Nothobranchius furzeri: one gene and its partner. The protein of the gene in region 2 binds, or shares a complex with, the protein of the main gene of each other region. Links are inferred from orthologs where the notes say so. Each region holds a gene or a part of one and is shown on either strand. Other genes may lie near its edges. The genes, in order: atox1 and atp7a.

What was found.
Region 1: the proteins of atp7a (region 2) and atox1 are in contact, whole or in part, in an NMR structure (PDB 2K1R), measured with the Homo sapiens proteins. The link is inferred for Nothobranchius furzeri from reciprocal best matches to the Homo sapiens genes ATP7A and ATOX1. Residues at the interface, in NP_000043.4 of Homo sapiens: Cys19, Asn20, Ser21, Cys22, Trp24, Thr25, Gln29, Asp67, Asp68, Met69, Gly70, Phe71, Asp72; in NP_004036.1 of Homo sapiens: Thr11, Cys12, Gly13, Gly14, Cys15, Ala18, Arg21, Val22, Lys25, Lys57, Thr58, Gly59, Lys60.

What each region holds. Positions count from the first base shown.
Region 1 is NC_091741.1:69,332,840-69,337,195, forward strand, and holds the start of atox1 (copper transport protein ATOX1), read right to left. Parts: upstream 3,060-4,356; 5' UTR 2,855-3,059; coding exon 2,849-2,854; intron 2,553-2,848; coding exon 2,477-2,552; intron 1,668-2,476; coding exon 1,543-1,667; 3' UTR 1,519-1,542; intron 35-1,518; 3' UTR 1-34. UniProt on the Homo sapiens protein: Binds and deliver cytosolic copper to the copper ATPase proteins. May be important in cellular antioxidant defense.
Region 2 is NC_091741.1:97,524,026-97,527,845, forward strand, and holds part of atp7a (copper-transporting ATPase 1), read right to left. Parts: coding exon 3,796-3,820; intron 2,706-3,795; coding exon 1,953-2,705; intron 1,767-1,952; coding exon 1,554-1,766; intron 909-1,553; coding exon 745-908; intron 603-744; coding exon 441-602; intron 319-440; coding exon 242-318; intron 1-241. UniProt on the Homo sapiens protein: ATP-driven copper (Cu(+)) ion pump that plays an important role in intracellular copper ion homeostasis.

The DNA of each region.
Region 1 (4,356 bases), about 28 Mb from region 2:
GTGGACTTCTTCACTCTGAAGCTGCAATGACTTTCTAAAAGAAAACAAAGTTATATAGATTTAGTCAAAACTGTCAGACATCCCACCTATGCACACATGTCAATCACAGCATGAATGCTCAAGTGGGGAAGTACCTAGACCAGGGCCATTCAATTCCGGGCCGCTAGGGCCGGTGTCCAGCACATTTTAGTTTTAACTCTGCTTCAACACACCTGATTTCAATCAGCAGGTGTAGGGATGACTACCTTTGACATTTGAATCAATCCGGTACTAATTCCCGGTACCTACGAATCGATACCGGTACTTAAAGGTACCAATTTTTGATACTTTTGAGTGTTTAATATTTTAATTCTCTTTTATAATTAAACATATATTTTTCCTCAATATATAACAGTATTTGATAATTATCACGATAAATAACATTCATCTGTTTGTATTTTAACATCGTCCTTGTAGTTTTATAAGCTGATAATTAAACTGAAGCAAACATCTTTACTGTGAACTAAATTTACTGTGTATCTTCATTCCTTTTACCATCCTTTTTCATTTGATTTTTCCTACTGGGAAGTTAGAATTTCCGAGGAGAAAGCGAATGCACCATTAGCTGATAACGGTGGCAATGGAAGCTAACATATCAAGCTAACGTTATCTTAAACAGTTTAACTGCTGAAGCAGATTTAAACGATGATGCCTCACACTTAGATCGTTGTCGCTGGTTTCATCTTCACCCAATCACCTGTCGCATTTAGTAAAGTGAAGCCAAACTTAAGAGCGTGTTCGTGTTCTTCTAGTCGGATATTCGGAGTTCCGAGGAGAAAGCGAACGCACCATTAGCGAAACGGAAGCTAACATATCAAGCTAACGTTATCTTAAACATTTTATTTACCTACCGGAGCAGATTAAGATGAGGATGTCTCACTTAGATCGTTGTCGCTGGTTTCATCATCACCCAGTTACCCATCACATTTAGTGAAGTGGACCCAAGCTTTAGCGTTCGTTCTTTCTACCATGCTGCTCTGTTTACAACTGGCTCGCAGGGACGACGACATAACGCTCTTGCGCATGCGCAGCTGTCTAGGCAAGTTCTCGTTATGAAGGACGGGTACCGAAACGAGGCACCATTTGAAATGACGTGAATTGGTGCTCGGTCGGTACTATGGAATTCGGTCGGTACCTTAAAAAGTACCGAATTCGGTACCCATCCCTAAGCAGGTGATTAAATGACTTCTGCAGAGCCTGATGAGCTGCTGCACAGGTGATTCAACCATTGAATCTAATGTGGAATTAAATAGCCCTGACAAAATGTCTTTTAGCTATGCGTTGTTGGATAAAGGAGTGCTGATGAGTGAGTGAAGATTCACTCTGTCAATCGGAATGGAATTTCATTCTGATCAGGCAGTATCGGATCAGAATATTCCAATTGATGTGTTTACATAAAGAAATTTTGACCTGATAGGGCATTCATTTTGATTACTTTTGTCCATGTAAACACAGCTACTGTTATCACCACTGTCTCACCTGCTGTACGTAAGGCAAATTCCTTCATTTAGTGCCATTGTACGTGAACGACTTTCCAGTTTTCCTCAGCGCATCTTCGAGAACTTTCACATCCTTGTCAGACTCAATCCAAACCAGATTATTTGGCTGGTCAATCTCAAACTTTGTATCTAGGGGAGACAGAAAGAGCGCAATTGTCAGAATATTGAATTAAAAAAAACATGCCTCACGTTGAAAACCTGCAGTAGTAGTCAGTAGTTTATCTAAAATAAAGCTAACAATCTTAGCATTAAATAACCTCCATAGCAGTCAAGAGCTGAAAAGAGGTTTAGTTAATTTTGTTACATCAAAGCTCCAGTGTAACTGGATTGAAACTCAACATTTTACAGAGTAAAAGAATGGTAAAACTATCACATGACATCACATGATTTACCTGCTGACTCAAAGCTCAGAGCCAGCAGGTCATTAGATGGATGTGATAGAAACTAATTTTAGACATTTTAGTCAAATGCCACTTGAATAGGAAGATGTGTGGGATAAATTTAAGCCTCCACAATGGATTTTGTCCAACAAGATGAATATTAGAAAAATATTTTTGATCAGCTATAAACATAGCTTGAAAAAACTTATTTTAAATTATTTTGGATAATTATATAGAATATAGAATATAAATAATGCATACAGTCAGCATAAACATGACCCATGTAAAAAATTAAAGTGATGTTGCTGAAACAGAGAATTTCTACATTTTAAAGTGTTGTTCTCTCAAGACTGCTCCAAAGACAGATATAAAGTGACACATTTAATCCTAATATAAAAAAAATCTGCTTGATATAAAATCGTTAACACTCCATTCTTTACAAAGACGAAATTATATATTTTAGCTGAGAGAAAAGCAGTTTCAGACTGACAGCCAGTAAAACAAACAAAACAGGCAAGTGAAGCGAACAACTGCAGGAGACTGGAAGAGGAGTTTTACCTTCCAGTTTACCGAGGGCCTTGGCGACAGTCGCTGAACATTTCTCACACTCCATTTCCACCTTAAACTCGTGTTTCTGTGAGGCAGGCAGAAGCAATGTAAATAAATCTAAACTTTTAGTGAGAATTAGTACATTTGTCTATTAGTTGTTATTTAAATTTTCATCCTAGATACCATGGTTTTTGTATAACATTACTTCTTAATCAATAGTTAAACCGAGGTGTTTTTAAAGAGGTCTGTGAGCAATAAATGAGTTAGCTAGGTGACATTTGAAGGTTTACTTTGCAAGCTACTGCCAGTCAATGCTGTTGCTACATACTTAGGAGCAACGTCTATGCTAACAAAAAATAAAGAAGTCATTAGAAAACTCACGGTCATGTTTTCTGTAGCGTGTACCTCCTAGCGATCGGACAAACTGTAAACCTGCGATTGAAAAGATCGCAAGCGTCGCAGAATCACCCGAGAAATGCTTTCAACTAGCTAAACTGGTTACTGTAAAGTTAGCTTTAGCCACAACAGTAGCTCAACTTCCGGTCGAATAAAACAAAAGCACGTCCCCTGTCTCGTGACCACCCGGTGGACTAACCAAACCAAGCGCTTTCGTTCCGAGCTGGTGTCGCTTTTTTATTTTCAAAATAAAAGCCTATTTTAACAAACATACTTTAGAAAGAAGACCCGATTGTTTAAATATACTTGCAGTTAGATGTTACCAAAATTCACTTAATGACGTTAAACGTGATTTTTTTCGCTGACAAGAAGCTATTATATCTTTATTATTTCAAGGTTTTAATATATCTCTATGGCAACAGAACGTGGAACATCCTGGTCGGTCGGGTCATGTGACCACACCACTGGCTCCTCTGAAGGGAAATTCTATTAGCTGAGCCGAGTCTGCTTTGCTCCCAATCTGTGCCGCGTCGCCGGCAGCTACGCTGTGTTGCCTTTTTAACTGACTGCGATACGAAAATAAAAGGTTTGCGGTCAGGCCACTGAGATAAAGCCAACGTTGGAGGAGAGGACACACACGGTTGTCGCAGAGGTAGGCTGGTGCTGTTTGTGATGGGCCGAGCTGCTGTTTACGAACACATAGATGACATCGGAACCTTCAGCTAACATCAGCTAGCTTATTTAATGGCACGACCAAGGCAGCTCTTAACTTTACCAGCTTCCATTAGCATTGTGTTGAAGTGTTAGTATTTTCAGTGTTTTTCGGTTTCATTTAGAACACCGGTCTCGTGTCTGCTTTGACAGCTCACGCGTCTCCCGGCCAAAGATAACACACCATTGATGCGATTACCGCGTTAATCTGGTCGGTCTGCGGGATGTCTGTTTGCTCTCATGAAAGGACAACACTTCTCATTTAAAATGTCTAAAAACAAACTGGTTCAGTGGGGAGTGCTTTGGCTACACCCTGATCTTACAGTTTAGTTGCTTTTCACTTGCCAACATTTTCATATTGACATTTTATTTGCCCTGAATGCTAATAACTACTAGCATCCTCAGAGGCAACAACTGGATCCGCAGAGGAACTTGGCCCCCATCTGTTTTGCAGAATTTTTTAATTTCAGCCACGTTGGGTGGTTTTCTGGCATGACCACCTTGTTTCAGGTCAAAGGTCAGATTTTCATGTAAAGCAGCCCCAGACTACCACACTACCACCACTGTGTTTAACTGTTGTGCTGTTTCTTTTCTGAATACCAGTGTTAGGTTTACTATTTAATCATGACAACAAGAAAATAATTCTGAAAGTGGGCATTTTACAGCACTCAACATACAACATAAGTAATGAATGCAGACAATCTACATTCAGCTTCTCAGGTTTGATCAATTAATTGATTTTAATTTAAATGGTGATAACAGTTTATTAGATAAGACATGTG
Region 2 (3,820 bases):
TCACCTCTGTGCCGTTTCCTGTGGTAGTTTTATTTTTTTTTTTGTGGTGATGCGTGCGCTCCGGACCTGCGTGAAGTTCCACCTGATAGTTTACCGTATTTTACTTGGAACTAGAACTAATTTTCTCATATCAGAAATAGAAAGATGTGCAAGGAGTTCAAGCTCTAATTTACAATAAAAGCATAGAGAGAGCTAACAGCTGATCAACTGAATAAACGTAAAAACAAAAACAGAAGCTCACTGTCGTATCTCGTTGCTGTGGTCCAGGTGGCTGGCAGTACGGTCTCTCTTCACTAAAGATGCCTCAAATCCTAGTTTCTACAAACAACAAACAGCTGATCAGTTGAATGATCTCTGAATACACAGCACCTTTTCTCAAATCCATCACTCACTCAGGTTAAAACTGTAGGAACAGAAAAGCTATGAAGTCTCAAACGTACCTGAATTAGCTTTATGATGTCTCGTGGCCCTATAATTTCGGAGTCGTACTTGACATGTGCTTTGTTGGTTGCCAGGGCAACAGAGGCATATATAATCCCCTTTTCTCTCATGAGGCTGGATTCAATTTTATGAACACAAGAGGCACACGTCATCCCCCTGACCTGAAACGAGGTGAGGAGGAAGAGACGAGTATGACATGAGACACAAGCACATCTCTCTCCAGCTGTTTTAATCTGTAACACGAACATTTATTAATGGATTCTATTTTGTGGAAATAAATAACACAGCAGCCCTTTAACTCACCACAAGCTCTAGGTTTCTGTCGGAGCCTTCGTAGTCCTCCATCACAGAGGCGGTGAAGCCCAGCTCTCTTATGCACTCTGCTATCTTCAGCGGGTCGGTTACATCCGGGTTAAAGCGGACCTCTGCTTTACTAGCCATCAGTGCAACGAGAACCGAGTAAATACCTGAACAAAGGGAGAGTTTCAGTGTGATGTTCAATAACAGTGGAAAGATACTTGGTTTAAAGAAGTTAATTATCAGTTATTTGGTTAAAGAGCAAGTCACCTCCTACAAGAAACTTACTTCGCTCCCTCTTGTTTGAAAAATGCAACAAATGCTGTTGCCTGGCAGACCGAGAGGGCAGAGCTGCTAACAAATACACACACACAGGCTCACAACGGCATTGTGACATCATAATGTACCAGTTTACATCATAGCATACCTCTTAGCCAATAGCGGTGGCAGATTTAAACTCAAGTACAGTGCAGAGTTTTAACCTGACGACGGCACAACACTGCCACTTTTAGGCAGAATATTTACATTTTAACTAAGATGCACTGAAGTACCAAATTATTGACGACACGAGTCTGCAGTACGATTAGACACACATTTATTTAGTTTATCAGGGGAAAAAAGTTGATTTGGGGGTGACTTGCTCTTTAATTATGCAACCTGCTGGGTTTTCAAACTTTTAACTAGTGGCCATAATGACTTGAACTCGGTGCGCTGATAAGTAGGTTCAGCTGGAATGTTTACTTTGTAAAGCGCCTTGAGCTGACTCTTGTTGTGATTTGGTGCTATATAAATAAACTGAACAGAAATGCACACACCAGGCTCATTCTTGACGTTTCGCTCGATGTTTGACACACAAGACGCACACGTCATGCCTCCGACCTGGATGAAGCACTTGGAGGGCGTGTCTCCGGTGTGTCCCTTTGGCGTTTCGCTGTGACGGTCACCGTCAAACTCACTCCCCAGAACAGGCAATGCACTTGAAGATTTGGAACAGACAGCATCGGGCGCAGGCAGCAGAGAATTGGTCTCTGTTTTAAAGAAACATTTAAATAGTTAATAGCAGGAAGTCGTGACTTTCCCCTCTTGACTTAGCAGTCCTATCATCCACTTGTAAGAACAGTTATTTAAGAGGAGCCTGGGTGCAATAAAACTTTCAAATATCAGCGAGTACTCCATTATGAGTTCATTTACAACTGCACCAGCTACACTCTTACCAGGCAGAGTTGCATCAAAGTCGATGTCCTGTATGGCCGCTCTCAGCTCCTCCGGTGTGGTCAGGAGAGGATCATATTCAAAGGTGCCCTGATGATCAACCAGAGAGACCTTAGCAGACATCACCCCCTTTCTTTGGGCGATCACACTTTCGATGGACTGCACACAGGAGTTACACGTCATGCCTTCGATGTGAATAACGACTACGGATGCCAGCGGCTGGCTAAAGCAAGGCTGTAAGGCTTGTGTTGCTCGTGCAGGCTGTGATGCTGATGAAGCAGGAGGAAGTGATGTCAATGCAGCACTGAGAGCACATCTGTCCTCCCAGAGCTCAGTCTTAAACTGTCCTGGAGGCAGTGCTTCTATGGCACTCTGCAGCTGGGTCACTTTGATCTTTAGAGGATCGTAGCAGATGGTGGCCTTCTCTTTCTCCAGAGACACCTCCACAGAAGAGACGCCAGGCACCACTGAGATGTTGTCTTGAATATTGGCCACGCAAGAACGGCAGTGCATGCCTTTTACCCTGAGCAGCACGCGTGCTGTGTCTATAAATATTTCTGTCTCCGACGGTGATGACTTTTTCGGGCTTTGTGAATTGACAAAACGTTCAATTTCTTGAGGGGAGAGTAGCAGAGGGTGGGACTTGGATTTAACAGTGGCCTTGAAGCCAGCCACAGCTATCTGGTCGAGGATGGTTTGAATAGCAATGAGGTAAGGCATGTAGACGACCGTGGCTTCCTGAGACTCTAAAGCAACTGTGCAGAGAAATGACAAAGTTAGCACACAAAAACAAACAACAACACACTTAAATACTGTGTTTGTAACGTGTTATACTTTCCAATTCAAGTTTGCTCAAGTTATACATGTCAAATAATTAAAAAATCTACATTCTATATTACAGCATTAAGGGGTTGGATTGGGGAGTTAACCACCAAATATTTCCTCGAGTGCAGCCAGTGCTGCAGCTCACCCCTCTGGGATGGGTCAAATGCGGAGATGTAATTTCACCAGTGTGTGATGATGACTAATGACCCCACTTCCCCATCCTGTTTATTTCTGTGGCTAATAATGGCAATGGAGGTTGAAGGTGTTTTTTCATGTTCAGCATAAATATGCAACTCAGATTGACCAATCATATTTCAAAACGACCAAGTATAACACGGTTTCTCGGTCAACAAGAGCCTTTACACCATAATGGGCACAATGAGAGAATCCCAGGAGGGCACAACTGCTGACAGAACAAAGTGAGCAAAAACAAACAAAAACAACCTACGTTCCTCCTAAAAGCCAAAAACTCTGCTGACTGGTATAGAAGTTACAGAATTATCTTGGTTGTCTTAAAGTTTGAACAACAAACTGTTAATGCTGCCATCCTCTTAGTCCAGGCCAGTTTCAATAGTTAAGTTTTTCAACTAACTGAACCACAATTCAATAAAATGCCTGTTCAGTCATAGAAAATCAACTAATTATTAAGTATTAAGTTATTTCTGACCTCTGTAGGGTTTATCCAAATCTGCATATGGAATTATATCCTTTCTATTTGAATGCAAAGGCTTTCCACTGATGGTTGGTCGCTGTCAGTTTAAAGGTATAAAATGAGTTTACAACACACTCGATACACGCACTTCAAACACAATGGCGTGTACGTGCTCAGCAGACATTATCCTCTCGGTCTACATATACCTCCCTCCAACCATACTGGTGAAAGGATTCCATGAGTCACAGACAAATCCTACAAAGCAGCTCTCCGAGGACACAATGACATGACACCAATGATCTATGAGATGTGCAATGCAGCAGTTGTGTTCTAATATCTCTTGTAGCTCTGACGGTCAAGTACATCACCTTTAATCTTTTCAATCCCTTTCAG